4 linked regions of the Drosophila melanogaster genome follow. The protein of the gene in region 1 purifies or fractionates together with the protein of each later gene. This does not show direct contact. Each region holds a gene or a part of one and is shown in the gene's direction. Other genes may lie near its edges.

Region 1 (8,965 bases):
GCTCTTGAAAATCCCTTGGCATAGGCATTTCCCATCGCGACCCTGAAGCCCCGTGCCCGTGCATAGCCATCCGGTTTCAATGCTGCCCAGCTACACGCCAATTAGTGCTTACACCTGTTCGGCGTACCTACACCTGGGGTCACCCCACTAGCAATTTGTTGGAGACCACAAACATTGGACACTTGAAAGCATCTTCAACTATTTATAGATCATAGTTATAGATCATAAGATCGCATCTAATGACACCGCATCACCATGTCATATCATATGTCCCTATTTTCTCAGCCCCATGTGTTAAGCCAGGCATATTTGGTATAATTAACACGTCCCAAAGCCGAGCACCCTCTGCGTTGTGGACAGCAAATGGTTCCCGCCCGGTTTTGGACAAATCGGTTCAATCGCACGATCGCACGTGCGAAGACTTCGGCCATTCATGGATACGGATTTACGTTGCGATGATACTCTCGATTTCATTACGGCCAGTTTCGGTCATTTGGTCAATTTTTATTGGCCATCTCGAAGCGGATGCTGACGAAAACTGGGTGGTACAAAGCTGCGAGTATATGGAAAAAACTTGAAGCGAGTAATATGAGTAATTCTGGGGTTACGACCCATTGCAATGTCAACCTTCGCCCTTCGGTTTTTTCTTTGCAAAAAGCGTGTTAAAAACCCTGCATGAGAAACCTGCTTTTGAAGAACGTGACAATGGCGGTTCAAAAGCAAAAGTGCTTTGACCTTACTCAAGAGATGGAAAAAGTACAAGTCGGTAGATATTACTGACATCGAACAAATGGATTGTTACATGAATACTCGCTTGATGTCCAAACAATTTAGATGGCATATCAAAAGGCATTGCAAAAAGTGTTGTTTTTTTTAAATTATTTATATTTTGAATACCTTTTAAATACTCTTTCTCGAACTAATCGTGACTTTCAATTACCAGCACAACTGTATATAAGTTTTTAACAAACTGGTGTATAGTTTTTCGAGCAACTGTAGCCACGCGCCTTATATAAATACATACGTACGTATATAGAAAATAATTCTATTTGAGGGAGATAATTCTAAGAAAATGCATATAGTACTTGCAATAAATATACGATAAAAAATGGGGTTCGGCAGATTTCGCTATTGCTCACCAAGTGGGAATTCAGAGGGCAGGCACCTCATCGCAGATGCAGTGGTCAGCATGGTCATGGCGATGCAGATCGAATGAATACACACACAAGTTACTTTACAACTAACTAAACCGGTATGCACATGCAAATGCTAGCGTATGTAAATAAATTAATATTTCTTTATTCAGGCTGATCGAGTCGGGAGCATCGGCGGTGGCTAAATGGGTCAATGTCGTCGGCGAGTTACTGAACTTTGTCTGAAATTCTCGAGCGACGAGTGCGAAAGGGGGGAATGCATGCAACAGTAATGAGCAAAAGGCAATGCAAAAAACACGGACAGACAGTGATGCCTCGTAAATAAGGGCTGAGCGTAGCTACATAGTGATAGTGATGGTGATCTGGCTAAGATATTTTTATGGTCCCTAGCGCTACACACTCAGAAATGCACTCTTAAAAAGAAAAGCACTCTATATGTATATATATATACAAATGTATATATGAGATCCAATTACTCACCTTGTTTGAATTGAAAATCGGCTAATCCACAAATAGTTGGCTGGTACAGTGGAAATCCTTCGGAACTCCCGTTCGACTCCGATATATGTACCTAGTGAGCTTGGGTCGCGTTTGAAGACTGAAAATACAAAGCTGCTTGTCAAATCGTTTTATAGCCGCCCCTTTTATGCACTGCGTGCATTGCACATATGTATTGTACGACAAAGTTATAGTTATCAAGATATATACATAGGTCGGTCGGAATAGTCGGGCACTCGTAAGGCCAGCGCGACTTAATAGGTCATTATAAGCGACCGATTCGAGTTAAGAGCTCTAAAGATCACGTCGCGAATCGCCGCATGGGATCTTCTTTTTTTTTTTTGGCTTGTTTTGCATAAGTTCACCTGAAAATGGTTCACTGAGCTCAGCATTAATTTTATGTTATTTCCATTGTTTTTAGTACGTTAAAGTGCCAAGACAAGTGCGGTATTTCTCACGGTGCAGCGCACTCAATCGATTTTCCACAGCAATTAACATTATTAAATATAATGTTGCAGAAGGTACACTGAAAGTAAGTGAGTACTACAAAATTCAAGAACTTTCTTCACTTTGTGTGCACTTTTAGAAATGTTCTTGACTTAAAACAATATAGTTATTATTATTATTATTGAAAAAATCCGTACTTTCTATCAGGAAATCCACTTTGCTATATTTTGTAACTATATACACTTTGTAACTTGTACTGTTTAGCACTTTCGAGAAATTCTCATCTGCCACTTGCGAAAAGTCCACTTCCTATATTTGTTCTAGAATGTAAACGAAGGAATATTTTCATTTCTCGTCGCAAAATACGAAATTTTTAAGTTAGCTATATAGCATCGGGGCACTTTCGCAATCGCGGCACAGCTTTATATATGTATATATATTTATATTAAGTGCGTGTTCTGAGCGTTTCGCACAGTGTATCGTGGTTAATCTTCTGATGGTTACGCGACTTGGATGCAATTAGACTTGAACTTTTGAACGCTCCGTACACGAGTAGTTTAAAGACTAATCGCCTTCGCCACTGTGACTGAGTGAAAAACGAGTTTGTAATCCCTCTTACGGATCGTAAGTGTGTAAGTTATTGCTTTGGCTATCACTCCTCCCGTTCGACACAACAGTAACTTTCTGCTTTTCTGCCGGACACTAGCTAATGTACCTTCTTTCGACTGGCGTGTCCGCGTTCCACGATCAAGTGATCAACTGACTGACGGGGGCTGTGGGTAATTCGAGCTCATTTGCTTTTAGTTTCAAGCACGAGCAATTAATTAAGTATTTCACTGCTCGCCGTTTCCAAATGTATTTCCATGCCATTTCTTGCGCTTGCCTGAGCCCATTCTGCGTGTCGGACCGCCATTCCGCCATTTAGCCATTCGGTCATTCCGTCCTCCAGTCAGACGATCACCTTCGAGCACGGAGCTACGTCAGCCTTTAAAGTCCGGCGGAATTTCGTTGGGCAGCCAAGTGCAATTAGCTAAGTCGAAGTACAGAACGCTGAAAGTTAAAAGTAACCCACTGATGGCATTAATCAATTTACGAACACGCAATCCCAGCGACAGCTGTTGATACGCACAGCGCGCTTCACATGGACATACAGACAGACAGACGGACAGACACTCCATTATCTATTAGGTATTTACATGCATTTAATTTGAATGTCAAATTCAGATTTATGGCCTAGCCTATGAGAGTTACAAACAATGAGAGTCGATTACATATGAATTTACACCTATTTCTAGTTCTACGTATGCATATCGATTCAATTCATCCATTCATTCCGTTGTATTGTCGAGTATAAAACGTACATTTGACTAATCATATAGAGATATTGTGCAGACAATTGTTGCTAGATATTGCTTACGATGAACTACAAAAGCGTTCTCGCCTGTTTTATACGTTTAAAGCTTAGACTACGTACAAAAGGTTTGGGTTAGTAATATGTCAACGATATTCAATGCTAAAGTCTTAGGTAGCGCTTAAGTGTACGGATGAGTTACTCTTAAGTACAGATCAAATCTATGCGAAGGAGAATTACGTATTTACAATACAATTGTCGGAGACTCCTGGTTAGATCACTGGAGTCGGCCGAATCCTCGCTCTGCGACTCCGTCGCCTCCTCTGCAATCATTTGGGCCGAATCTTCTCGTACATGAATTTCTGCACGTGCTTGTTGTCCGGCTGCATGAGCTTCTTCTTGTTGAACTCGAATTGGGCCAGCGCGAAATCGTACAGATCGTTTTCCATTTGCCAGATTTTTGTCTTTTGAATGGATTTAATTGTCGATTCGCTGGGCGGAAGCTTGGAAGATGTCACCCGCAGATGAGATTTGTTTGAATTATGATAGTGCTCACGAAAGCCGTGAAAAATTCTGCAAAAGAAAAAAAAAGAACAGGTCAATGAAGCAACTGGAGTATTCTAAAACAGACAATAACATATGGTTGGGAGGCACACCTTGGAAGGGATCTCTCGAGCAGATCCACAAACTCGTACATCTGCTCTGTGACTCCGACTAGGAAGTATTCGTTGACTAGATTGCGCTTGGCCTGGTCCAAGGCCCAACTGCTGCCGGGTTCCCAGCACTCGGCTGCATGGCCACAGAAGAAGGGTATCTGCAGCCACATGTTTTTGGGATCACAGTCGGGTTGTTTCTGCACCACGCACTCATCGAAGGTCTGCAAAGATGTGTGAGGGCTTTGGTTACAGGGAGGTTAATACCTTGATGCTCTACCTACAATTTTATTGCCCGCCTTCTTGCGGACTAAATTCGGTCGGTAGTTGTCGCCAAAGCGTAGAAAGTAATAGTAGGAGACAAGTCTGTCGAGCGGTTTGCGCACCAAATTGATGTAGATGGGCTTGTGGGCGATTTGGAATCTGCAAAGGAGTAATGCAATTGAGACGGGCTCTGCTGGATTGGCTAGATGTTACCTACTTTGAGAAGTCTAGGAAGGCCATGTGGCCGTGATAAAGAGCTGGCTTCATCTCGTGCCACCTGGAAACATTGCGCACGAATTGGATTTGATTGGGAAGCGAGAGGACGTGCATGTTGGCAGTGACATTGATGTGCAGCACATGGAATTTATTGGGCTTGCACAGATCGTATGCTATGTTAACAAAGCTGGTGGATCCCGTTTTCGGTACGCGATTGTAAAGCACCACTAGGTGCTCCTCGAAGTCAAAGTCATCGGTGGTGGACGAGGCATGCTGATCTGGGCTCAGAGAATCGCCCAGCTTGGAAAGCGGCTTGAAGGCTGCACAAAGTAGGTAATGGGTGTAAAAGTGATATGGTTTTGCCTAACTACCGGACTCCACTTACCATGTTCCAGGCGAATCTCTGACCAAAGCAACCAGTAACCTGCACAGGTGACCGCGCACAGGGCTATCAGGATCAGCCAGTGGGTGGGTCGGAGCAGAATCCACATCTTAAGCAGTTTCCTAAACATGCCTCGTGTCGGTTTGCCCTACAGGTCAGCACGGTAGCTCATATCAGCGTATTTATTTCAGCATAATCTCAGGTCGTTGTTTTCCTTGTTTTTTTTCTGCAACCAACATCGAGCAGTGTTGGTCAGCAGCTGCTGGACAGTGCTGCAAGGCACTGAAATCTGGTGAATCTGTGGGAATGTGCAGCTGTAGCTGAGATGACTAAATTAGTGATGGAAAATAGCTCAAAATGCTAGCTCGGATAATTGCATTTAATTTCCAGCTAGGAATCCGTAAATTAATTGCCTTATATTTATAACTTCAATAAATATGTTTTTCCTAAAACACAACACAGAATATTTTAGGCCAGTCACAACCAGATCTGCATCACCCTTCAGCAACCCTTTTGCCTTGAGCATCACTGTTTTTATTAGTGTGACCACCCTTGCCGGCAAATAATACCAAGCAATGCCAAAATTCTAGCGCCCATTTTTGCGAGGTTAAAATAAATTTCGCAAGCCGGCTGCAATCGCAAAGTACAGTGCGACTTATATACACTCGTATAAAATAATTCCATTTAAAAGCAAGCATGTCCACCTTTAACTTCGCCAGCATGGCCGCCCAACTGGGCCAGGAGCAGGGAATATCATTCGAGAACAAGGTGCTTTCCTGGAACACAGCTGCCGATGGTAAGTTTGGGTGACGCTTTGGGTACTCCATGCAGTGGCTATATTGAGGCTTTTTACAGTCCAGGATGTGGTGGATGCCCTTAACAAACAGACCACCGTGCACTATCTGAATCTGGACGGGAACACACTGGGCGTTGAGGCCGCCAAGGCGATTGGTGAGGGTCTGAAGCGTCATCCAGAGTTTCGGAAGGCGCTGTGGAAGAACATGTTTACTGGTCGTCTCATATCGGAGATTCCGGAGGCACTCAAGCACCTGGGAGCCGCGCTAATTGTCGCGGGCGCCAAACTGACAGTCCTGGATCTCAGCGACAATGCCTTAGGACCGAATGGCATGCGAGGCTTAGAGGAGTTACTGCGATCCCCGGTCTGCTACTCGCTGCAGGAGCTGCTGCTGTGCAATTGTGGCCTTGGTCCCGAGGGCGGTAGTATGCTGTCCCGGGCTCTGATCGATCTGCATGCCAATGCCAACAAGGCGGGCTTCCCGCTCCAGCTGCGTGTGTTCATAGGTTCGCGCAATCGTCTCGAGGATGCCGGTGCTACGGAAATGGCAACCGCATTCCAAACCCTCAAGACCTTCGAGGAGATTGTTCTGGAGCAAAACTCCATTTACATCGAAGGCGTCGAGGCCCTTGCCGAATCCTTCAAGCATAATCCTCATCTACGAGTGCTAAACATGAACGACAATACTCTAAAGTCCGAGGGAGCTGAAAAAATAGCTGAGGCTCTTCCCTTCTTGCCACTGTGAGTCGGTTATAAAGTTTTTGATGAGGGAGAGTGAGTGAGTGTTATGTGATATCTTTTTGCTTTGCAGGCTGCGTGAAATGAGCTTTGGAGACTGCCTGATCAAAACTAATGGCGCCTACCACTTCGGTGAGGCTCTGGAGAGAGGAAACGAACGACTGGAAGTTATCGACTTAGGTTTTAACGAAATCAACAGCGACGGCGGCTTGGTGTTGGTGAATGCTATGGGAAACAAGCCCAAGCTACGCATCTTGAATCTAGATGGCAATAGCTTTGGAGAAGAAGGCAGCGAGAAGATAATCAGCGAGATGAGTAAGTTGCCAACTGCTGCCGCACTGCAACCGTTTCAGCACCAGGAAGAGGAGGATTTGGAAGATGAATACCAGGCTGACAAGCAGGACGCAGATTACGAAGAGGAAGAGGAAGTACACGAGCACGCCAACGATACTACCGAAGAAGCAGATGAGGATAGCGAGGGCGACGAGGACGACGAGGAAGACGAGGGAGACGAGGAGTACAGCAACGTCGCGGAGGAGACTGCCTATGTCACTACGAATGCCTACACGACCAAGGTTAGTTTATACTTCGGAGTACTGTGCAAATGGTAACAGCAATTAATCGAATTATCTTTAATTTTAAATTTTCACAGCTTTTTAACGACACAACCAACTCGATGGCCAGCGAAACTTTTGCGGTCGCGAACAAGACGATCAGCCAAAAATGCACTCCAGAGAAGTTCTGTTTGAGCCAGAAACCCTGCTCCCAGGAAGATTTCGATTCGCTAGATATGGATAACAAACTTGAGGCTTTGCAGTCGATTGTCAACGTAAGATATTCTCAATAATTAGAATGCAATTAGAGTAACGTAACATTTTTGTACAGCAATTCACCGGCGACAACCATTTGCTACTGCTCGTCTTCACCACCTTGAAGTGCGCGCATTTGTCGCAATCCTCGAAAGCTGCGTTGGATCTGGCCGTCTCCTTGTACCAGGCCACCTTTGACTATGCCATCAAGACAAAGCAGGAGACACGTGTACTCAACTATGTACTGATGCAGCTCCGTTTGTTGCCCTGCAAGGAGGTATTCCATTCGGACTACGATGTCAAGAACTGTCGATTTGCTCTTCGCGAGGCTCTCAAGCAACCAACGTTTGCCAACGACAACATTAAGAATTCCTTTAAGACTTTCCTGGAGGGTGCGGAGTCGTAAAGAGAATTAGAGAAGAGATTACCTTTATTTCCCACTTTCCGATTTGTGTAGCTTTCGCGAATAAAAACGTATTATTCCTAACCCGTAGTGGTGTTTTTTTTTTACCCAAAAAACCAATCGAAATTTAATGTATTAGCCATTCGGCAAAAGTGATTTATTTACATGAAGAAAACTCGTATGAGACTACAAACTATCTTTATGGAACATGTTAATACATCGATATTACGTTTGTAAATTCCTCTTGGTGGCTTTCTTGCTGCTCTGGAACAGAATCAGCTACAGTGAACGAATGTAGCGAAGTGTTTATCTATAGTTAATAAAAACACGAATTATAAAACATTGACGTTAACATCGAGGAGAACATTGAAAGATTATAAAATAACGAACGATCGTGGCGAGCAAGTCCGCAAAAAAAAGTGCCTCCTCGAGATTCTCGATGCGGATAATGCTGATTCTAAGAGTCCATCTTCTATCAATATCCTGTGTGGAAATGTGTTCCTTAACAATTAAAATCAGAATCATCATCATCATCTTCATCAATCTCGATATCATCATCATCGCTTTCAATTACAGCTCGCCTCTTCTTGGGCGGAGCTTTCTTTTTGGCTCCTCCACTGCTCTCATCCTCTCGTCCACGCTTAGCTGGACGCTTGGGCGAATCATCATCGCTGGCATTGCCATCATCATCAGAGCCAACGTTGCCACCGTCTTCCTCCTCATCCGAGAAGAGCGAGCTGTAGTCTATCTTCTTACTGGCCTGTCGACGTCCAGGACGCTCTGCACGAGGAGTTACTTCCTCCACGTCATCGTCGCTCTTTTTCGCCTAAAGATGAAAAATATTAATTGACAATTAAATACAGATTTGGGTTTAAAAACAAATATGGGCAATTACTGAAACACTTACCTTGGCCTTGCTGAAGTCAATCTTGCTCTGCTTGAGCCCGCCGCCGTTCTCCTTCTTTTGGCGCGGCTTTTTTTCTCCCGGCTCCTTCTTGACAACCGCCTTCTTGGCCTTGGGTGAGGTCTTAGAGCCGCCCTCGACCATTGCATCAAATTCGTCCACCTCATCGCCGCTGGCATCAGGTTCGGCTTTAATCTGCTTGCCCTTCGGTTCCTTCTTCACTTTTGGCTCCTTGGGCTCTTTGGGTTTCTTCGGCTCCTTAGCCGCCTGAGCTACCTTGGCAGCCGCTGCCATTTTCTTAATGATTTCTTCGGTGATCTTAAACTCGACGGGTTCTCCATCGGGATCTG
Region 2 (6,802 bases), on another chromosome or scaffold:
GAAGCATTGCCTTAGGTAAATTCTTTTTGATACCATTACCTTTACAGATCGTTCCCAATCCTGAGGAGAAGACGAAGTACTTTGCCAAGAACAACTAGGGACAGATAGAGATGCACATTACCTTAGTAGCCTAGCCCAGTTACATTCCTAATGTTCACGACTGAATCACGATGCAAACGAACAATCGCTAGAGTCCTCTGTACAGAAAATCCAAATCCGCAATGCCACCGATTGTGAATATTTCGCATTTGCTTTGTACAAAACATAGTTTGTTTATTTTACAGCATAACTGAGATATAAATAAATTCATGAAGTACATGTGAAGGTGATGAAAATTGCGCGGCGCCACAGGAGCGGTACCAAAAAGGAGGAGATGTTTTCGATCTCAAAATGCCTTGAAAGCTGGCTCACTAGGCCACTCTAATGGGTAACAATTCGATTGCAATTAGTTTCATACAAAAATATATGTAATATGTAATATGTAGTAGGTAAAAGGTAATAGTAAATTAGTTAGGTACGCCATGGTTGCAATTAAGTTATCCTGTGCTCCGACCTATGCGTACAACAAAGCTAGGTCTGTCGAGGTATATAAATCTGGGGAAACGGGACGGGGGCGACGACAATAACTAGGACGTCATAAGGCACTCGTTCTCGTCGGATTCTTCGTGTGTAGTCTGCTTTCTGTTTTCCGTTTTGTGCGTTTGTCAGTAAGTGCTTCATTGTGGTGAGCTTTAAATGCCAAAACCGAGGTTCATAAAATAACGAAGGTGCAACTGCGGTTCAGATCCAAGTTGTGCGGGAGATTCCTTTGCTGCGGAGATTCCGTATCGATCAAAGCGTTGCACTGTTCAGATTCCCGGAAACGTTAATCAAATAAGGGGTTAAAAAGTTCTTAGAGCTATGACCATGCAACACGTCGAACCAAAAAGCAGTCGGCGATTATAATGTTTGGGCGTTTGTTCCTTTAGAATGCGATTCATCATACAGCCTACTGCTCGTAGTAAACCGCGTCCTGGAATTAAGACAAACACAAATCAATGAAGGGAAACGAGTATATAGCACTGGCATATGCTTTATTTCACTCAGTGATATATATGATATACTGATATACTCACAATCAAAAAGAGCGCTGCGAATATGAGCGCCTTCATGCGGACATCCAGATTCAGGGGGAAGGTGACGCTGAAGTAGTCCGCATCGGTGAACAGCTCCCTTCCCAGTCCGGACCATTGTTTGCTGATTTTGCCGATCTCCTCGTTGTTGGCGCTCAATACCTGTGCGCGGTTAAAGGGGCGAGAGATGTTTGCGTTTCGCATTAATCGGTTCGCAGTTCGCGGCATCGCAATTAATTGACTCGCTCTGGACAGTCAGGCATGGCTAACCATGACGTCACTGCCTCGGACTGCAGTCTCTTTGCTTCTGTACGATCACAGCAGCGGTCAGTAAAAGGGCTCATAGATCGGCACAAACACTTGGTGCATTTTAGCCATAAAAAGTATAAATTGATTGATTGATTTTCCTATATCTAGAGGCATCTGTTAAATAACGTATACAATTGAAAATTTAAAACTAGTGTGGGTGCTATTAATTTGAACGCTTCTGTCTGTTCATAATTATTTAGAATATATGTATATAGGCACTTATAAATGTTTAATAATTAAAAAAGCAATTAAGTGGACGCCTGATACTGTTCATTTTGGAATTTTATAAAGCTTCGTCTTTGACTGATGAAGACCATACATATGTACTCCTCCGAAGAATTTAAAGCTAATCCGCTGACCGCTGCTGTGTGTGTATACACTTGTTTGGGCATTGGGAATCGAGATCGAGAGCCAAGAATAACCACTTGTTGGCTGCGTACTGACCTTGAAGTTGGTATCGCTGAAGCACTTGCAGGGACAGACGGGTCCCTCGATCTGCAGGACGGTATCGCCGCATGTGTTCTTGATGTTGAACTTGGGCCGCATGAAGGTGCAGACCTGCTCAACGCTACCGATCACCTGGCCGGGTGGCGCCGACACCTCCACGGCGTTCATGCAGCTGGGAAAGCAGCAGAGGATGTCGCACTTGAAGGGCCGGTACAGGTGGAGCACCTCGTTCTGAAAATTGTCCAGTATCTTCATCTCGAAGGGGCGCGACCGGCCGAGCATGTTGCGGGTGCAGCAGTCGCTCTCCTCGTACGCGAAGTACACATTCTGGCCCAGTGAGTTCTTCACCTTGAAGCGGTTCTTCGTCTCGAAGCCGGTGAGCAGCTCCAGTTTCTCGATCTTCTGCGACACGAGCAACTGGTCCAGAGCGGTCAGGTATTCCAGTCCCTGCGGGCAGTTGGGCATGCCCACGGGTATCGACATCCAGTTTTCTGCAATGGGGCGTTGTTCCGGATTAGCTCCCTATGTATTTATATTTATCTATATGCATAAAGTGCTTTTCCGATATCTATGCATGGGTAAAGGAAATTAGCATAGCTACAATGGCGGTCAGGCGATTAGGGCCAGTGATAGCAGTTCTTAACATAAACTAATATTTTAAACAATATGTATTTACGTATTGACTTGGAATCACTTCACTTTTTGGTACATTATAAAATATCTTTTTTACATAGATAACTATGGGTGCTATTGCCATGCCCGCTGCTGTACTAAATGCCAAGAAAGAGACGACGGCATTTCCGCCTTTCGCACACGCCCACTAGCCCACACAGACGCGCGCAACCGACTAGGTCCATCCGAGTGATGGAATTCAACAGTGGACAAATCCATATATGTCCATCGCTACGCACCAGGTCCGTTGGCATTGTTGCCAACATTCGCCGCCTGCGGCTGCAGGACCACTGCGCCATTCTCGTCCTGCGGTGCATTCTGCGGGAGCACCTTGTACTCGCTCATCTGCATCATTGTTATTCCCAGCAATTAAATTCGTATCGGATTCTTTAACAGTTCACAAAACACTAAATGCAGGGTGACCGCGTTGCGAACGCCGAAAAATGCAACGCAAATGCACCGTACGAAATATTCTGTCATATATTTTGGTATTTATTCGAACACAGAAAAATATCAACAAAAAGCTTTCAGCACTCAATGCAGTGACAAGTTAAATTTGTTATGAGCTGACGTTTTTGTGGATTCATTTGTATTATTGCATTGTATTGCAATAGTTTCCTTAAGCTAGCCTCTTTAAGTTCTAAGAATTTTGAGTTTATTTGTGCCAGTTGGTATATTCGCGCCTGCCACCGACGGTAACACTGCGGCTATGATTGGATGATAAGCGATCCATAAAAGCCTGGACACAAAAGACCTGAAACATGCTGCTTGGCAGCCGAATCTCCAGTCGAAATGAGCGAATCTCTTGATAAGACCACCAGCCCGAGCTCGGCCAGTTCCAGGGCCACGCCCCCGGGAACGCAGGATGCGGATGAGGGCCACGACGTGAGCGATACCTTCTACACGAGCCAGCGCAAGAAGGGCAGCCACGTATTTCGGGTGCGCCTTGACGCCACAGGATTCACCCTGCAGCGGGAGTCGCCGGGCGGTAGCATTGTTAAGGAGCAACATGTCCGCATATCGGACATTGTGGGTGCCCGCTGCATGCGGCCCAAGAAGAGCCGGCGCCTGGCGATGTCGGGCGCCTGTGCGTGCAGCTCCGGTAATCCCAATTCGCCAGCCATCTCGGCGTCCGGCGATCACCATCGCCCTGCCACCACACCAAGCAAATGCAGCACCAATAGTCGGGATAATATTCCTTCGGATGGCGGCGATGTCAGCGCGTTTCTCTACGTTTTTGCCTATGTTCTGAAGAAGAGGAGCCTGCGGTCGGAGTTGCACCGGGAGCGAACGGTGCTCACTCTGCGCTTCCGGTCGTTCGACACCTTCGAGGACAACATGAGGGAGGCGGATCGTTGGTACAGATCCCTTCGCTGGCAGTTGCATCGCACGCTGGAGGAGATCTTTGTGGCGCCGACGGTGGATGAGCGACGCCGTCGAGTGCTTGTGCTGTTGAATCCCAAATCCGGTTCCGGTGACGCTCGTGAGGTCTTCAACATGCACGTGACGCCGGTGCTCAACGAGGCCGAGGTGCCCTACGACCTGTATGTAACCAAGCATTCCAACTTTGCCATCGAGTTCTTGAGCACCAGGTGCCTGGACGCCTGGTGCTGCGTGGTGGCTGTCGGCGGAGACGGTCTCTTCCACGAGATAGTCAATGGACTGCTGCAGCGCCAGGACTGGGCCCACGTCCTGCCTCATCTGGCACTGGGAATCATTCCTTGCGGCTCCGGAAATGGATTGGCCCGCTCCATTGCCCATTGTTACAAGTATGTTATCTTTGTTTCATGTTTCATTAGGAAAAACCCCCTTTTGACTTATGTGGATCTTCATATTTCGTGTAAAACAATCCCTCCAGCGTCTAGCCATGCAGTTTATCATTAGATTACATTCATAAGCAAAAGTAGTTTTCTTATCGTGTCAAATGGTTTTGTTGTTTTGCAAGTGGGGATATCCCCTTAAAGTTAAATTGACGTCAGACTAGAACAAACTTTCCACATCGTTAAGTAATTGCCCCCCAATTTCGTTCAACATTTAGTGGCATATCATCGAACTTTGAAATCTTTATGTTCTTTCTTTATGTTCATCTATAGCTCAACTTCCCGATAAAAGAGTATAAAAAGGGTAATAGAAAAGAATGTTTATAGACTTTAAAACCACATTCAGGTGTCTCATATCCGATCTATTGGTCGTAATCCGATTATCAGTCTTGTGTTGAAACCTATTCACTTGAAACCTTTCTCCCCAGCGAACCATACTTCAGCAAGCCAGTGCTAGGAGCTGCTCTGACCGTAATCAGTGGACGCAGTTCACCCATGGACGTGGTCCGGGTGCAGCTGCAGAGTCGCTCCCTCTACTCCTTCCTGTCCATCGGCTGGGGTCTGATCTCGGACGTGGACATCGAGAGCGAGCGCATTCGCATGTTGGGCTACCAGCGCTTCACCGTGTGGACCCTCTACCGTCTGGTGAATCTGCGCACCTACAACGGCCGAATCAGCTATCTTCTGACGGACCATGAGGTGTCCTCAACCCATAGCGCTACCGGTTATGCTGCCCAGCGGAGAATGCAGAGCAGCCGTAGCTGCAACACGCACATCGACATGCTAAATGGGCCGGCGCCCATCTATCATTCCAGTGCCGAGTACCTGCCACAGGAGTTTGCGGACGTGATCTCCCTGGAGACGTCCATCAATCAGTCGTTCCGCTCGAGGTGCGACAGCTGGTTGTCGGGGGGATCGCGGCGCAGCTTTTACTATTCCATATCGGAGAGCATCTACCACAGTCTGGCGGATGAGAGCGAGTTCGCCGGCCTGGCGGCCGCCTCGCTGGAAAACCGGCAGCAGAACTACGGTCCGGCAAGCGAGCTGCCGGATCTGAACGAACCGCTGTCCGAGGATCAGGGTTGGCTGGTGGAGGAGGGCGAGTTCGTCATGATGCACGCCGTTTACCAGACCCATCTGGGCATCGACTGTCATTTTGCGCCCAAGGCCCAGCTGAACGACGGCACCATCTACCTGATCCTCATACGCGCCGGCATCAGCCGCCCGCACCTGCTGAGCTTCCTCTACAACATGAGCTCCGGCACTCACCTGCCGGAGTCGCACGACGACCATGTGAAGGTGCTGCCAGTGCGAGCATTCCGCCTGGAGCCCTACGACAATCACGGCATCATCACGGTCGACGGCGAGCGCGTCGAGTTCGGGCCCCTCCAAGCTGAGGTCCTGCCGGGCATAGCCCGCGTCATGGTGCCCAAGTAGGAGGAGCTTACTGAAGACCATCAAGCAATAGAAATCTCAATTTTGGAATCTCTGCATTTGTAGCTAATACTTAGGGTCCCAGGTGGCCGATATGAGAGAGTTGTGCATTCTACATATTTCGTGTTTTTGTGGCCTGCTTCTGCCAACCAATCATGTATTGTTAACATTTTAAACACAATAACAGCTATTTCCGAAATATCTAACATGTTTGTTTATAAAACGTGTGCCATATGAAGTGCACGTGAATTTATTTTTATCTCGGCTGTTCAAAATAGCGATGAAAGTCTTATTTATTTTGTTCTTTTTTTTTTTAAACTGTGTAACGAAATGAGATATATATTCAAAATGTTTAAAGATGAATACAAATAAATCTTCATGAATTCAAAAATCTTAGAAAGTAACAGTGTAAGTAACAGAGCTAAATCATTTACAATTCCATATTTTAAAGTAGGAAGTTAAGAATATAACATCTTTGAGCTTGAAATAAAAAATAAAAATGTTAACTAATTTCAGCTCTGTTTCAATTTGTTTTCTTCTCTTTACTATATAGTTTAAAATATTTTTCAAAATTTATTATCAATTAAAGCTTTTATTAAAATGTAACGGTTCCAACCAATAACGGTAATTTTTCGGTATTTCGTGCTTGCATTTAGTATTGTTGTGGAACGCAAATGACAGCTTTTAGAGAGTTTCAGCCGGTCACACTGGTCGAAAAAAAAGAAAAAAACAAATCCGTTCCGTTTGTGAAAAAACATTTCCGAGTAAAAATAAACAGCGCTGCTTGCATTTCACATAGTGTCAGCACATTCCGATTCCAGTCCGCGACTCTCCAGCACGGAATCCCAGTCTGCATTCCGGTCAGGAAGCGATTCGTGCTCTACAATATGTCGTCCGAGGAGCTGGCGCCAATTAACGAGCAGGACTTCAAGGATCTCAAGGAGCGCATGAAATTGATTGTGGAGGCGGATCCAAAGCAGTATCACAATGACTTTTCGCTGCGTCGCT
Region 3 (8,909 bases), on another chromosome or scaffold:
TTGAGAATGCAGAATGGGGTGAGCGATTTAGTAGGTGAGTCCATGTGTGCGCCACAATTGCTGTTATACAACCGTTGTATAATGATGGCCATTAGGCCAGTCTTTTGCCAACTCAATTGCTAGGCGGTCGAAATTGGAATGGGACTCCGTGTCTAGTTGAGTTTGTTGCCTAAGTCTTTTGTTTGAGTTTTCACCTCTGCAGGAGCAATCAAATTAGTTACCCATGCTGCCTACTTACTCCCAGTGAAAATAAAGTAATCAAGGATCTCCATTATAATAATGATCAATCAATCATTTGCACTCTAATCACTATTATCAGCATCTAATCATTATTATGACAGCATTCAATGGATGTTCAGCAACGAGCTTGGAAAAAACTATTTAATACGAGAATATCTAAAAACTAAAGTGTTATGTTTGAGTTATGTTGATCTTATCTTTAAAAGCCTCTAACTTATGAGCTGTGTTTACTTATTAGACCATAATTTGTCTGTAAAGCTGTTTCTCCACCTTTGCAATAACAATTTTTTATTACCATCTCAGCACTCATCACTCAACGTGACCATGGAGAAGGTGTTAAGGCGATGCAGTCGCCTGCTCCTCCTACTGCTGCTGCCACTTGTCAGCTTGTGTCCAAATGCATTGGCACTCAATCGACAGGCGGATGCTGGCCAGGCTTTGGATATGGCAGCGCAGCTGGCGGATGCGGAAGCCGAAGCCAGGCCGGATTACGATGCCGATTCCCCGGATACGCCGCACATACGCAAGAAGCGACTCATCTGGATTACGGATGATGGCAGATTGGCCCTGCCGCCGGGCACTTCGCTGACATTCGTGCCAACCATTGCCATGCCCCTGGTTCGGCATCCGCCCGAGGGATTCTTCTCCAACCTGACCATCAGTTTTCCCGTCACCAGTGCGTAGACAGCTCTCAATGTCAATGATTAATCAATTAACTCTGATTTTTGTTGCCTCAATCCACAGTTGACTTCGACAAACTGGGCCTGACAGACAACCAAAATCCTCTGGGGGATCTGCCGCCGCTGTTCGCCCGCTCCTTTGGTCACGAGGCAGGCCACATGGTTGGTGAATATGTGGCGAGGTATCTGCATGTCCAGCGCAGGAAGAGGGATCTCAGCGAGCAGCGGAGCAGAAGCAACGAGGATCATCCCTTTAGGATACACGAAGAGGGTCCAAAGTATCCGGAGCTGCCAGCCGGACTGCAGCATATTTTCCATGGCGGAGAGCGGGTTTTGCTCTATGGCGTAGTGGAGGACTTTCTATCCACCTTTGGCATGGATGGCAAGGCCTGTTTGCTGAGAACCATTTGTGAGATGCACTCACGAAGTTTGGAGAAGTTCGGTGTCTTTGGAGAAATGACAAAGCTATTTTTAACGTGAGTAATTTCCTCCTTTCAATCGTGATTCTTTGTTACACAGATCTCTCTTATAGGGTAACCAAATCTCCGTTTTCCGACCTGGTACCCGACTATGTACAAGCCCAGGAGGTGGGCGAGGGAAAGCAAGCACCAGGAGAATGTTTTCCCTACTTCAAGGACTGTCCGAAGAGTATATTTAAGGCCTTGTCCAGCAAGTATAGCAAACCAGCTCCTGCGAGCAAGACGAAAAAGACAAAACCCACAGACAGACCGGTGGGCGAATATCATGAGGAGCAGGTCATTCAACTGCCCACCACTCGGGATCAGGACAACAATGTGTATATGTAGAACAATGACCAACTCCCATGCGAACCCCTATTGTTGACCTCGTCTAGATGTTAGGATTACGATTGAGTTGAGCGCGTCCTCAAAGTCACTTGCTTGTAATTAACGTGTACTAATTAATTTATAATTATTTATTTTATTTACGCATTGTATTTATTGTTAGTCGTAGGCGTTGTTAATTGCTTAGATTTGTATCCATGTTTGTCTAGTGGTCTGTAAATAATTGAAATTGTGGCATAATTCCTTCCTTTCAACAAATGAAAACGTGTCGAATGAATAGAAAATAAATTTCCCTTGAAAGGTGCTTTATAATTGTTTTCATTCAAATAACAACTTACGGCAATAATGGCCAAGATATGTACAACATTGCGTTTTTAGATTTAAACTGGCGCCAAAAACGACAACTGCCTGCATTGCACAGCACTATCAGCAGTTACAAATCAAAGTTTGAAACCAAATTAAAGTGGTTACACTGGCAGCTAGATTTGGGTACTCTCCATGTTTTTGTGAAAGTAATATATGAAGCAAAATAATACTTAACGGTACTTAGTGCTCGGTTTGTAGTTATGTAATTACTTAACTAATTGCTCATTTTAAAGGGAAGATTTAAATTCAAATTTTGTGTATTTATAAGAAGAAGAAAAAGGCACTTCTGACAACTATCGAGAGTAAGACATCGATAGCGTAACGACTTATCGAAGGAACCGTCGGTCGTCAGACCATCTCTAGGTCAGCTTTGTTTTGGTTTTGCAGCGAAAAAAACATCAGCGTCGTGAGTTCTCTTCGCTTATTTACCAAGCCTCCCACAAACAAGCCAGAGCATTACGTGTTGCACAGATGTTTGCGGATCGTCGAGGAAATCAATAAACGAAAGGTGAGTGCTCCTGGGTGGGGGCCAGCTGGCGCTTCAGAACCGCGAAAAGGCGGTGCTGTGAGTCAGGCGATGCGATCGCTGATTGAATTGGATTATCACGATAGGAGCTCCCATCAAATTGCCAGCCGGCATTGTAGTTGTTTACATTGCGCGGACGTGGCGCAATATATTTTTAATCTTCTGCGGCAACCTGCTGATTAAGATACCCCCGAACCGTTTCATTGTATAGATAACTTGGCAGTTGAACTCCGGAGCTGGAAGAGGATGGACACGAACGCTGGGGAGTCGCTGGGAGCATCGCCGCCCTCGAGCAATGAGGCAGCGGCGGGATCACAGTCCCAGAGCGATGCCTCCGAGGAGGAGGAGTATCTGGACAACAGTATCGAACTGAGGGGCTATCTCAGCAAGTGGACGAACTACATCTATGGATGGCAGCCACGCTACATAGTCCTGAAGGATGGTACACTCTCCTACTATAAATCCGAATCGGAGTCGGATTTCGGGTGCCGCGGAGCCATCAGCCTGACCAAGGCCACCATTAAGGTAGGACGGCCGAAAAGAGAGAGGGTGGAGCTCCTTCCCCAAGTGCTTTCAATTGGACTAATAAAAAAGTAATGGGCGTGAGTGTGTGCGCATGTGTTTGCGACACATTAACCAACGATGACCGCGACCTGAGGTCTCCGTTTCCATTCCCAAGCCAATACACCCATTCCCAATCCAATTCCGAGCGACGCAATCAATGCAGCGCAATCAATTAACGTTGGGCGACCAAAATAGACCAAAATTGAAGTCATCAATGTAAGTGGGGTACCCCTCAGACCTAGGCGCTGCTAGAAGGCCTTCTGTTGACAGGAGGGCGTGTTGTTCTAGGAGGGTGTTTCGCCATGAGTGTGTACTTATCTATTTATACTGTAGGAGCTGCCAAAAGCATATACACAATGCTGACTCACTAGAAGCGGCCCTTCCATTCATTCGCCTTGACTTTGCGAACACTGATCTTATTCAAAGATATTGAAGCCTCATTTAGTTCAAAGAATTTTTCCCAACAATCCAAATAATAATTATCACCGATTTAATCGATCATGATTGGATTACTTGGATTACTTTACAGTGAAACCAGCTCACTTGTAGTTTAAGTTACTAATAATTGGATTTATTTGCAAGTGATTCATTTAAAATTTTAATTAATTTTCACAAATTTCTCTTAGTGTTTTGACTCATTCAGGTTCCACTGTAATTTCCATTTGCCAACAATAATCTTGTATTCGGGTGTTTTCCTTGTTGATTTCATGTTTACCACTGATTTGCGTTCCGCTATAATCAACCATTCAAAGTTAATTAGGTTTTTTTTTCGTCGAATTTATTGTATTTCGTTTTAATAACTGGCTTATTACTGGCATGAAATTTTCATTTAAAATATAAGTAAGATAAACCGTTTATTTGTACCTATTTTGTGCCTTTTACTAAGTTCAAGTTTATTTTTCTTTTGTAGGCCCATGAGTCCGACGAGCTCCGATTCGATGTTGTGGTGAACAACTTAAATAACTGGTGCCTGCGGGCAGAGACCAGCGAGGACCGCATGCACTGGGTGGATGTGCTGCAGCTGTACAAGGCGGACTCCGGCAGCACGGACACCACTTCCTTGCGCCGCCATGGCAGTACCATGAGCCTGCAATCGAACACTATCTCGCTGACCAGCGGAGGAAGCCTAAAGAAGACGCAGCGCAACCTGCGCGAAAAAGTCGGCGAGCTGGAGACCTTTAAGGATATACTATTTGGACAGATCGAGACTCTGCAGCGATACTTTGATGCCTGCTCGGAGGTGAACAAAAACAATGCGCAACCACTGGACCTGGGCGACGGTCTGAAGTCCATCGATTTCAAGGTAAAGTAGTGCACTTATCGGGCCATTGGTATATGTACAGTGTACTAAGCAAAACACTCGATTTTCTCAGGGCGAATCCATCACGTTTCGGGCCACAACGTCCGGCGTGCTAACCACCCTGCAGCATTGCCTAGAAATCATCGCCGAGAGCGATGAGTCATGGAAACGGAAACTGGAGCGTGAAATAGATAAGCGTCGACGTTCTGAGGACCAAAGCAAGTAGGTTGACCTAGTCGGAATAGATTCCTACAAGAAGAAGCAATTTCAATTACCTTTTTTGTATTTGCTTGAAAACCATACGTTTCTTTAAAAATTATCATGCTATTTCATGGTTTAATTTATTTAAAAAAGGATTAATAATGTATTTAAATTTAATGTGTACATTCATTTCTGAAGTTTATTCATTTAAACGATATTAAAACTATGGTAAAATTCTATGTTTCTTCTTTGCAGAAAGCTCAAGGATGAAGTTGAGAAAATGAAGCGTCTATCGTATCCTGGCCCAGATTTCGAGGTGAGTTCAAGTTTACAGCTCTCGTAAAAGCAAAAGCGTAATCGCATTCACGGTCATTGCTGCTCAAATCGGGGCCAAACACGTTCCCACTGAAAATGCAAACAATCGCCGAATGAGTGGCGCGAAATTCGTATAAACGATTTGCGTGCGATTTGTCGGCGTCTTAAAATAAACTGCCTGATTCGACGTTGTGTCAGAGATTTCATCATATGCAAGGAAAGTAGAACACGCTGGACTATTATTCAAGCGTTTTCAATTCGATTATGGAATGCCAGTATTTGGTTCCGAATTTTGGCTGACACGAAGTTCCCGTGTTCGTGTTAATCTGGAATTGGTCATGCAATATCGTTTTTCCGCTTACATTTGTTTGCCCAATCAATTCCATTTTAATGGCATATGTCCACAATAGCATTAGAAAAATGATGCTCTCCTACGAATTGTAAGTGCTCAACTTGGTTGTTATTCTTGGCTCGGTTACTTGGCGACTACTCAGGCTGAAAGACTGGGCGTCTAGACGGTTTCATTAGGCCTGTTTGACAGTTGGGCGTAGCTTAAGATCTACTTCGAGCCAATATTGCAGATATTGACGTTGAATAACGATCCAACCGTTGGCTAGAATGCACTTTGTGCAACGGGTATATTAACTATTACGTCTTCAGTGATCTTCATATGAAAATTTTGTTAGAAAATCCCGATTTAAGTGAACAATATATAGTAAACATGTACGTGATCTTTCACTATACGTTCAAGCTTAGAGCATTCAATATGCGGCTCACTTTTTGAGCTGTGGCTTTTAGCCTGGCTTACAGCTGTCAGGTTTATGGCTTATGAGCTAGGCTGGTCAGTCGGCGGTTAGCGATCGAGTGGCCAACACGTAGCAATTATAAACAAATTTGCTAGGCAAACAATTCAAAACGAGACTGTTTCTTTTTCATATTGGTCGTGGCATTTAATTGAGTGTGCAGATTGTGAAATTTCTTGCGTTGCATTGAAAGAGCTATAATAAATAAACAAGTGTACACAATTGTAGCAATCGCTAGTTCATGTTGCAAATATAAAAGCGCCGCACGCATCACTGTACAAATATACAAATTTATAAAATTATAAACAACGTCAACGCTATGCCCTCGGCGCGATTTCTGTGGCGCTCCGGCGGATTTCAGAAGGGCAGCGTTAAAAAAATAAAGGTACACTGAATTAAAATCATAAATAATTTACATAAAGGAGTGGTGGAATATATTTTTATAATATGTGTTTCGTATGGAAATATTTCAAGGCGTATTATCACTTTTATAAACAATAAACGTTTCAATATATCTCCAAATAAAATTTGATAACACTTTTAGTAATTTTGAATTTTTTTTCTATGTGCATATATAGCTGATAAAAAATATTAACAAACATCGTTGTGTTTTTGAAAAATTTCTAATCAGCTATGAATGTGGAATGTCAAATATTTTTTTATTATGATAAAAGTATTAGTTCGGAAGCATTGCTTTGATAAAATAATGGTATTTTTCCTTAGTGTATGAAATGTTGCCTAAAATAAGTTTCATAAAATGTTGATGTTGGTTTTTTCTAACCAAATTGGCCTCATTAGTGGGCCACCCCACTCGCTTTTGAATGTTGAATGTTTGAAGTGCGGTGGCCAAAGAACCCCAAGAATTGATTTATTATTTAAATGCAAGAAATCCTATCCATTGGAGCTTTTTGCTCTGTGCGCTTTTCGCTTTTTACTCTCAGTCGCCCGCTTTCTCCTGCTCTCTTTTTTTGGCCTTCTCTCTGCTCCGCTCATCCTGGCCAAGTTGGCCAGTGCGTTTGGGCCACCAGCAACAGTTTGTTTTGTGTCCTTGTGCTCGACGGAAGGATTCGCCAGGACACAAGTGCGCTCACTTTTCCTGCTTTCGCCTGCCACGCAACCCTTTCTCTCTCTCTCTTTGGCTCTCTTGCGGTGCGATTCCTGATTTTTTCCTGCTGAGAAGGAGCCTAATTTTTGCCGCCCAAAAACCTCTTCGCTTTTGTTGGGTTCAACTGCAACAATTGGTGGAGGAGCCTGGTAAGAGGAGACATAGCGACGCCACAGGAATAAGTACGCATATAGCCCATGTCTTCATTGTTGGTTAGCTGCGAGTGCCGCTTGGTCAAGATGATTATGCACTCGAATTCACGCCGCAGGGTGTATTTATTTCACCGCCTTTGGCTGCGCACATCTCTGCTTTAATTAATAAATATCAATTCAATTCCGCACAAATTCCATTCGAGGCATTTATTTTGCGCCGGTTGCCGTTCTGGGGATACACGCGCCAGTCGCAGACGTCAGAATGTGTACAGTGAACACTGGCTAGCACAGAATGGAGCGGATGTATACCTCTAAAGGGCCGAACTTCAAGGGACACTTTTCCTATATATCAATCCTAATTTCAGCATAATATTCTAAATACTCTCAAAATATTATGATTTTGTTTGTATATTACAGTAGCAATTTGGTAAACTCTGTTGCGAAATTCGAAACACATTGTTAGGAGGAAAAGAATTTTATAAATGGCAAATTTATCAACTTAATTAAATTTCGGCAGTATTATTGTGTAGCTTATTGGTGGTTTTTCCCCACGAGATGCCACTGCTTTAATGGGATTCAGTACCAAGTACCAAGCCCCGTCTGGCGGTCTTCTGCTTTCGTATTCATGGCACAATGATGCGCCTTTGTGTCCATTATGCTCGCCCAATTACGCATGCCAGCCGACTACGAGAATCTCCGCCTGGCGACTGGTCAGGGTATGGAATGGGCGAAAAAACAACAGCATAAATTTGATTTTCTTGGGCCATTTGGCCGCACAAGTGTCGGCGATTAATTTATACAAAGCACGTTCCATTTCTTTCCAATTGGATTGAATGCGGTTTCGTCATTAAAATTAATTAGGCCGAACCTTCAAAGATGCTTTTGGGCTAAACTTGACTTAGTTTGCTCGATGCTAATGGAGATATATGTATAATATGACATTTCCCTTTCAATTTCGCAGGAGGGTCCACATTCCACATTGCCCGAGGATGAGTTCTTCGATGCGGTCGAAACGGGCCTGGACAAAATCGAGGAGGACATGCAGCTGCGCTTCAAGCTTAAGCTGCAGTCCCAGATCTCCCAGACACTGGTCAACGTTCCACACGAGGCGGTGGCCGAGGGCGAGGAGGCGCGCGAGGAGTTCGGCACGGGTGCGGAGGCCACCAGCCATGCCCTGTGGCCGGAGGTAAGACCGGAAATTGCCAATCTGGCCCCCTAACGACCAGCCAATAATTGGATTTATCCCGCAGATCGATCGCGTGTGCAAGGAGCAACTGCATTACGCACGCGAGGGCGTTGGCCAAGACGGCAACGGCTGGCAAATCTTTGCCGACGAGGGGGAGATCAAAATGTACAAACGCGAGGAGGAGGTCAACGGGCTGGTCATGGATCCCTTGAAGGCCTATCATACGGTGCAGGGCGTGACGGCGAGGGAAATGTGCCATTACTTCTTCATGCCCGAGTTCCGAAATGACTGGGAGAGTAAGTAATTGCAATAAACTGGGTTTTCCCTCAATTTCTTTTGGTTTAAAGCACGCTCAAAAGAAACAGTGGCGTGCGCATAGATAATTCATAATTTTCTACAAACAACTCACATGTTGCAGCTATACAACTTGTTGCTTAAACTTTTTATTCTATAGCCACTTTGGAGGACTGCACCATCCTGGAAAAAATCTCGGCGGACACCCTGCTTTTCCTGCAAACCCATAAGCGGATATGGCCGGCGAGCCAGCGTGATGCGCAATTTTGGTCGCACATGCGCAAGATCACAGACAATCTGGAGCCGGGCGCCCGGGACATGTGGGTGGTGTGCAACAACTCGACGGAGTACGCCAAGCAGGAGTCAAAGAATGG
Region 4 (7,197 bases), about 17 Mb from region 1:
CAACTTTCCCTTCGGAATCGAAATCTCCACCACGACGGACTTCTATTCCGTGGGCATCAGGCAGAATTCCTATCTAAACATCAGTGACTACATTGCACAGTTTGAGGTGTACAGGGAACCATTGATTAACCATCTAGTTCAGCATAAGGTAAGCCATTGGGATTCGGCTATAAGGGAGCTGACAGCCAAAGCCCTGCACAAACTATCCCTTTGGGAGCCCGAGTACATGGCCGCTGTGGTGCTGCCGCAACTGCTGGCAAAAACTGACACCATCGATATTAACTGCCGGCATGGTTGTGTCTTAGCCATGGGAGAAATAACACTGACCCTACGGAAACTAGAGGAAAAGAGTGATCCCCAAGTGGTTTACCTCTCCAACCAACGGGTTGCGGAGCTGAATGAACTAATAATAACGTTCCTAGACAAAAATTTCTATCGCGGAATGAGCGGCGACCTGATGAAATCTTGCACCAGCAGCTACATAAAGAACTGCAGTCTGGCCAAGTTGCAGGCTACGCCGGAGTGCTTGGGTAGGAAAAGAGTCCCTAAAGTATAACAAGCATATTATTTAATTGCGTTTATTCGTTTCAGTTTCCTGGCAGAAAGTCATCGATTCCTGTTTGATCACCAAATCAAACGCTATTCGGGATGGTGCGGTGGAAGCGTTCGGTGAACTCTGTACCACTTATTACTGCTCAGATTCCAGGCACGGGGAAAACGAAGCCATAATCAACACTTATCTAACAGGTGCAGATAACGATTTGGAGGAGCACATTCGCATGGGCTACATTGCTGCTCTGGGTGTGCTCCCATCCTTTATGATCCGCTGTCATCTGCAGGCTATATTGGACAGTCTGGTGAAGCACTCCCTAACTCCACTGCAAGCAGTTCTGGTGGGTGAAATGGGTGACCGCGAGAACATCCAGGCATACAGGTGGAGCGAGGCACGGACACAGAGCGTGCTGGCCTTGACCAAGTTGGTGAAGACCGTGGGATATGGAGGGGGAATTGGTGAGTCAATGATCTTAGTTGTGGGCTAAGAATGTGAACAAATCTTAGTATACAATTATTTTTTCAGACTCATTTGCTGAGCCGAAAAACTTTAACAAGGTTATCGAATGCCTGTTAAGAGCTCTTCAAGAGTACACCCTGGACAACCGTGGTGACATCGGAGCGTGGGTGAGGGAGGCGGCTATGTCATCGCTATACGAAATCGTCACTACGTGTCCGCCTGATCTCCTCGCCCCAGAGCAAGTGCATGAGATTGTCGTGGGCTTTATGCAACAGGCGGTGGAGAAGATCGATCGCACTCGTGGATTAGGTGGTCGCCTTTGCTGCCAACTGATCCATCATCAGCCGAGGATCCCCTACATACGGGAGCACTCAAAACTCTTGGAAATATTTCCCGCGGATGCGGATTCCGTACTTTGGTTATTTGCCGATCACACATTCCCGCTGTTCTGCGAGCTGCTCTCTCTGCCGGATTACTCTAAAAGAGTTCTTTTGGGTCTGAGTGCCAGCATTGGTCAACTGACTGAATCTCTTGTAAGTTGTATAGACCACCTCTATATCAATCTCTAAAATATTCTTCCTGCAGATCAAGTATGCCTCCAGTGCCTTATTCCACTTCTTGCGTTCCAATCCTGAGACTGTTCCGCGTCTCTGCTCCGAGGTGGTCCAGATTTTCGAGGAGCATCTACTAAACGAGCGCGTGACCTATCCTCTGCTCAGTTTCCTGGATATACTCATTGGCTCCGGAACTGTAGAATCGGTTCTACACGATGAAGCAAATCCCTTTGCAGAGGATATCTTTAGGCTGCTCAACCTGGAGGTTAAGGGCTACAAGAAGCTGTACAAGACTGCGACCAGCATCAGTGCTTTTTGCCAGTTGCTCCAGGTTCCTCGCCTGTCTAAACGCATCCTCTCCAAGCTCTCAGTATTTCTTGGACTGCAGCACGTCCACGTTCGCAAAACCGCTGCCACAAAATTGTACGAAGCGTTGGCTCTGCACGGCGATGTCACCGAAGTGCCCGAGGAGAATATGGATGAGATCCTAACACTGCTCTCCGAAACGGACTGGACCCAGCCGCTGGTGGAGGTGCGTCCGCTGCGGAACCAGTTGTGCCAACTAATGGACATCAAGCCTCCCGTAAGTGGAGCAGCTGCTGCAGCCGCTTTGCAGCAAGCGAGTGCTGATAAATGAATGTTCCCACATGTATTTAATATATATTAATGCACAATTGTACTGACAACATACATAAGTGGTATTCATAAGAATTTTTATTCTTTATTTTGGAAGCACATCTTTATTTTAACATGTTTTTTAATATTTATCGTTTTCAAAACAAAGAGCTTGTAAGTTCGATTTTAAAATTTCACTTGCTCAAAATAAATTAAATATTGTTCAACATTTCAAAAACCAACGAACACTTTTTGATAAAAAGTGGCTATTTTCAAGCCAAATAATTTCGAATAGGCGCTGGGCCATTTCCCATTTCATTGCGACGGTCACACTGCGACAGAGACAGAAAAAAACAAGACAGGCGAGGGAATGAAAAATAAATATAAATTAAACGCGGACTACCCAAAAGCAAGGAGGGATAAAGGAGTCGAGATCAATTAAACACCGCCGGACTTCACACGGAGAAATTTGTCATAGAAATTGGTTTTTTTGTAAATAAAACACGAACTCGCAAAACACACGTTTCTTTCGCCGCACAACGTTGTTACGTTACACAATTGTGGATTGTGGTGTCACCTACTCCGCAGCCAGTGCAAATCACGATGAGTATTTGGGGGGTCCGATGTCTGACGCAGAGGTTCATCCGGCAGGCGTACATCCTGGCCAACAGAAGGCTATTGGGTCCAGTGCCGCAGCGCTCGCCGCCGGCATACGGTAAGTGAGGTTATGGCCGGCTGGCCAAACCGATCCGTGTTTTCATGTTTTTGCCGATAACTAACTAGCATTCACGTCGATTTCAGCTCCTCTTCGGCCAGCCCACAGCAGCCTCTATCAAATGGTAAAGAAACGCACCCTTGAGGCGCGCACCAAATTGCAAGCCAACAAATATCCAAATCATCAAGTCTGCGTCACCAAGCCCTCGACCACGCCCCCCGTTGAAGAGTACGAGACGGCGGTGGAGGGAGCCGGCGTTCCCGCCTACGCCAATGCCCAGTTTCAAGCCCATTCCCAATCGGAGCCACTCTTTAAAGTGGTACCCATCGTTCATACCATTCACCATCCATTTGCATTAGCTGGATAAGTTGGGGATGCAAACTAACTTCCTACAAGCCTTGTGAAATTGATAACTAGCGAAAACATAGCTGGGTTATTAAACAGAAACCAGTTTGCATCCCCATCAAAGACTTGCAGAGTTATTAACAAATATTAAACAATATAATCAATTTCCAGGGCTTTGCTGACGTCAAGTCCGTCTGCAGTGCTAAGGATGTGTTAAAGTCGGACAGTGCAAAGCTCAGCACCAGCCAACCCGTCCTGGATTCCTGCAAAGCGACTAGTCCCTGCGAGGAATTCAAGCGCAAACGAAAGGAGACCACCTGCCAGCCCTGCGACGAGGATGGTACTGCTCCCGGTGGCGGTGATGGTGGAGACGAGGAGTGCGAGTGTCGGATGAAGGACCTACGGCTTAAGTGCCTCTTGGGTGCCCTGGCTGCCTTGTTAGCCGGAGGATTTGTATGTTTCGATCTGATATCTAAAGGAAATATTCTCTAATTACTTTGCTATCATATAGCTCGCTTGGTTTATGACGCGGGATACGGATGACAGTGAAGCCAAAAAAGCCGAGGCGGAGGAGGAGGAACGAAAACGTAGATTAGTTGCTGGACTAGCCACGAGTAAGTAAAGCGAAAACCATAGATTTTTGAATTGGTAGGCTAGATTAAACCACATTTGCCAACTGATTCAGATAAGCATTATCTTATACATACCTCAAAATCATCATGATTGGATAATAATTACAACAATTTTCAAGATAGGCCGAGGTAACTTATCACTTTCTCTCTATGCGCAGGTCCGCCCAGTTCTGAGGACCTTCCCAAGCATGTGCCGTACCTGATTATCGGCGGCGGAACCGCTGCCTTCTCTGCTTTCCGAGCCATCAAGTCTAACGATGCAACAGCCAAGGTTTTAATGATTAGCAACGAGTTCCGCAAACCCTACATGCGCCCCCCACTGTCCAAGGAACTGTGGTATACGCCCAATCCTAACGAGGATCCCATCAAGGACTATCGATTCAAACAATGGACGGGATCCGAGAGAAGGTAGGTCTGAATAACTTTTTTTATATAATTGAAACCCATTAAGTTATTCCCTTCCTGTTCACAGCTTGTTCTTTGAGCCGGATGAGTTTTTCATTGACCCCGAGGATCTGGATGATAATGCAAATGGAGGGATTGCCGTCGCTCAAGGTTTCTCTGTGAAGAAGGTGGACGCTCAAAAACGCATAGTGACGTTGAACGACGGTTACGAGATAAGCTACGACGAATGCCTAATTGCCACCGGCTGTGCCCCCAAGAACCTGCCCATGCTGCGTGATGCTCCGCCCAGCGTGCTCGAAAAAGTAATGGTCTATCGCACACCCGATGACTTTGATCGCCTCCGCAAATTGGCGGCGGAAAAGCGTTCAATCACAATTGTTGGCAATGGATTTATCGGCAGTGAACTGGCCTGCTCCCTGGCACACTATTCCAGAGAGAACAATGGCGGTAAAGTGTACCAGGTGTTCCAGGAAAATGCCAACATGTCAAAGGTCCTTCCAAACTACTTGAGTCGCTGGACGACGGCAAAGATGGAAGCCCAGGGTGTCTGCGTCATCCCCAACGCCAGCATTCGCTCGGCAGTTCGCGATGAAACCAATCTAAAGTTGGAGTTAAACAATGGAATGACTTTGATGTCGGACGTGGTGGTGGTCTGCGTGGGTTGCACGCCAAACACGGATCTCGCGGGACCCAGCAGGCTAGAGGTGGACAGAAGTCTCGGCGGTTTTGTGGTTAATGCAGAGCTGGAGGCCAGGCGGAACCTGTACGTGGCCGGTGATGCTTCCTGCTTCTTCGATCCTCTGCTGGGCAGGCGACGGGTGGAGCACCATGATCACTCGGTGGTCTCTGGTCGGCTGGCCGGCGAGAACATGACGGGAGCAAGTAAGTTACTGGGCTTAAAGTTAATAACCGATCGATCATAATGTTCGCCGTACCTTTTGCAGAGAAACCTTATCAACATCAGAGCATGTTTTGGTCCGATCTAGGTCCAGAGATCGGATACGAGGGTATTGGCTTGGTGGATTCCTCGCTACCCACCGTTGGTGTGTTCGCCCTGCCCTCGGAATCCGCCACGCGCGTTGACCAACTGTCTGAGTCTAGTGATTCCGACGTGCCGGAGACCAGTACGAGTTCCAGCCAGTCGTCAAAATCTGATGCCGGGGCTAGCCAAGATGGCGTTACCTGTGATCCCGATGAGGCGGGCAACTATGGCAAGGGTGTAATATTCTACTTGAAGAACGACAAGATCGTCGGCATCCTGCTGTGGAACCTCTTCAATCGGATAGGCTTAGCTAGGACAATAATCAATCAGAATAAGAAGTACGATGACCTCAATGAGGTGGCCAAACTGTTCGAGATTCACGCGTAGAGAACAGCGAGTCCCGAGGGACCATGGAGAAGATCTGGCTACCCTGATATGCTTATCAGCACGCACCGAACAGAACCTATCCAACCCGAATGCCTTTAACTGTGTTTACTGTGTACATTTGCAACTGCAACTAGATACGAACGGCAATGACGCAATGCAACAGAAATTTTAGTTTTATTATTTTTGGAATAAACCTTATTTTGTAGTCAACGACATTGATTCGGTTATGTAGCAGCAAAGTGCATATCTCCGTGTAAATATTGAAAAGTCGTAGACAAGCGGGTCTCTGTTGAATTGTGTGTAACTTTCGTAATAAACCAAGCACCAGAAAGTTGTTGACAAAAAATTCACCGTACCAACTAAACTGTTCAAATTATTCATTTTCGGTGTTGAAAAATCCGCTTTTTGATCCTGAGGCACCCGTTATTTAACTAATCCTAAGAGATTTTGCTTTGATTCTTATTTAAATAAATCGTAGGAACTTTGGAACTTATTTTTTTTACTTCAATCATATAACCCATTTGTTTATTGTCCGAGTTGTCTCACAACGGCACAGAATTTAAATGTACATATTTTTTTGGAATTTTCCCAGAATTTGACTAAACCATCTGCCTTATAAAAGACGAGCACCTGGTTTAGGGTTTTAGGCTGGATTAGCTGAATATAGCGAGGATCAATAAAATTCGCGAAATATTATTTTCGCTGAAGTAGGATCCTACCTGACTTCTTGTGCCAAAGGTGGTTACTTATTAGGGCCACTCGGATTACCGACCAATTGGTAGGTAGAGCCCGAGAACGGGTGGCCCATAAGCAGGTACATCCTTGGGATATATAAACTTTGCCCTGAGACAAGCAGGACATCAGTTCCTTCTCGACAGTCTAATCATGAAGTACCGCATGTTGAATAAACGCAAACAGGCGACTCCCTCGCCAGTAAGAGATTCCGACGCAGCCGACGTAGCCATGGCCAACCACAGTGCTCTGGAACTGGAGGCGGCTGCGGCTCTCTTGTTGCTCCGCTACCAATACGATCGACAAGTGTGCAATAACATTATAACCTACACGGAGTCCTGTTCCCCGACTCCACCGCCGGCAGTTGCTGACAACACGACGCCAAAAGATCAGACTGTTCGTCCGCCAGTCGCCAGCCAGCCGCTGAAGAAGCGCTCCATACCATCGCACATCCTCCGCAGATCCCTGACTCCGGCCAAATCCGAGACTTCAGTGAGCAACAAGTCGATAGTCAAGGCCAAGACGAGGACTCCAATTCCCAGTAAGGAGCGAAACTGCAACAGGACCTTGCTTAAGTCCTGCAGAAATATGATTCGAGAGTTTTTGGACAATCAGGAGTTTATCTAAAAAAAAAAGTTTAACTATGTATCCTAGGATAACCGCCTGAAACCAATTCTACATTTGTAATTTTACACAAATCAAGATTTTAGAAATCTTCGCAAAAAACGCCACAGTGAATTGCACGATTGCAGAAAAGATCGAAACGAAATCCTTAAACAAATGTAGCCCAGTATATAACAGTCCCGAGAAAGATGAAG

What was found.
Region 2: the proteins of RanGAP (region 1) and Sk2 purify together in Drosophila melanogaster (affinity purification with mass spectrometry, with the first as the bait; one large-scale study listed by BioGRID). This does not show direct contact.
Region 3: the proteins of RanGAP (region 1) and cert purify together in Drosophila melanogaster (affinity purification with mass spectrometry, with the first as the bait; one large-scale study listed by BioGRID). This does not show direct contact.
Region 4: the proteins of RanGAP (region 1) and AIF purify together in Drosophila melanogaster (affinity purification with mass spectrometry, with the first as the bait; one large-scale study listed by BioGRID). This does not show direct contact.

What each region holds. Positions count from the first base shown.
Region 1 is NT_033779.5:19,439,525-19,448,489, forward strand, and holds RanGAP (Ran GTPase activating protein), read left to right. Parts: upstream 1-2,434; 5' UTR 2,435-2,731; intron 2,732-2,814; exon of another isoform or gene 2,815-3,203; intron 3,204-3,308; exon of another isoform or gene 3,309-3,779; coding exon of another isoform or gene 3,780-4,023; intron 4,024-4,106; coding exon of another isoform or gene 4,107-4,327; intron 4,328-4,387; coding exon of another isoform or gene 4,388-4,526; intron 4,527-4,584; coding exon of another isoform or gene 4,585-4,903; intron 4,904-4,968; coding exon of another isoform or gene 4,969-5,095; exon of another isoform or gene 5,096-5,226; intron 5,227-5,427; 5' UTR 5,428-5,661; coding exon 5,662-5,761; intron 5,762-5,820; coding exon 5,821-6,502; intron 6,503-6,572; coding exon 6,573-7,074; intron 7,075-7,151; coding exon 7,152-7,328; intron 7,329-7,384; coding exon 7,385-7,714; 3' UTR 7,715-7,793; downstream 7,794-8,965. Other genes in the region: CG10237 (uncharacterized protein), read right to left, coding at 1,140-1,197; Hs2st (heparan sulfate 2-O-sulfotransferase), read right to left, coding at 3,780-4,023, 4,107-4,327, 4,388-4,526, 4,585-4,903, 4,969-5,095; Top2 (topoisomerase 2), read right to left, coding at 8,214-8,537, 8,619-8,965. UniProt on the Drosophila melanogaster protein: GTPase activator for the nuclear Ras-related regulatory protein Ran, converting it to the putatively inactive GDP-bound state. Trans-acting factor necessary for meiotic distortion.
Region 2 is NT_037436.4:3,043,858-3,050,659, forward strand, and holds Sk2 (sphingosine kinase 2), read left to right. Parts: upstream 1-3,229; 5' UTR 3,230-3,332; coding exon 3,333-4,309; intron 4,310-4,788; coding exon 4,789-5,797; 3' UTR 5,798-6,302; downstream 6,303-6,802. Other genes in the region: Prx4 (peroxiredoxin 4), read left to right, coding at 48-98; scramb2 (scramblase 2), read right to left, coding at 989-1,012, 1,116-1,274, 1,866-2,359, 2,780-2,894; CG32485 (uncharacterized protein), read left to right, coding at 6,682-6,802.
Region 3 is NT_037436.4:8,283,401-8,292,309, reverse strand, and holds the start of cert (ceramide transfer protein), read left to right. Parts: upstream 1-2,439; 5' UTR 2,440-2,597; intron 2,598-2,826; 5' UTR 2,827-2,861; coding exon 2,862-3,140; intron 3,141-4,089; coding exon 4,090-4,482; intron 4,483-4,552; coding exon 4,553-4,701; intron 4,702-4,935; coding exon 4,936-4,996; intron 4,997-5,840; exon of another isoform or gene 5,841-6,117; coding exon of another isoform or gene 6,118-6,183; intron 6,184-8,016; coding exon 8,017-8,241; intron 8,242-8,305; coding exon 8,306-8,537; intron 8,538-8,695; coding exon 8,696-8,909. Other genes in the region: CG7201 (uncharacterized protein), read left to right, coding at 565-916, 985-1,396, 1,453-1,726.
Region 4 is NT_033779.5:2,149,251-2,156,447, forward strand, and holds AIF (apoptosis inducing factor), read left to right. Parts: upstream 1-2,503; 5' UTR 2,504-2,784; coding exon 2,785-2,896; intron 2,897-2,982; coding exon 2,983-3,215; intron 3,216-3,412; coding exon 3,413-3,694; intron 3,695-3,752; coding exon 3,753-3,855; intron 3,856-4,031; coding exon 4,032-4,281; intron 4,282-4,345; coding exon 4,346-5,160; intron 5,161-5,222; coding exon 5,223-5,647; 3' UTR 5,648-5,855; downstream 5,856-7,197. Other genes in the region: Tbcd (Tubulin-binding cofactor D), read left to right, coding at 1-530, 592-1,011, 1,079-1,545, 1,598-2,203; CG15382 (uncharacterized protein), read left to right, coding at 6,533-7,006. UniProt on the Drosophila melanogaster protein: Probable NADH oxidoreductase. Mitochondrial effector of cell death that plays roles in developmentally regulated cell death and normal mitochondrial function.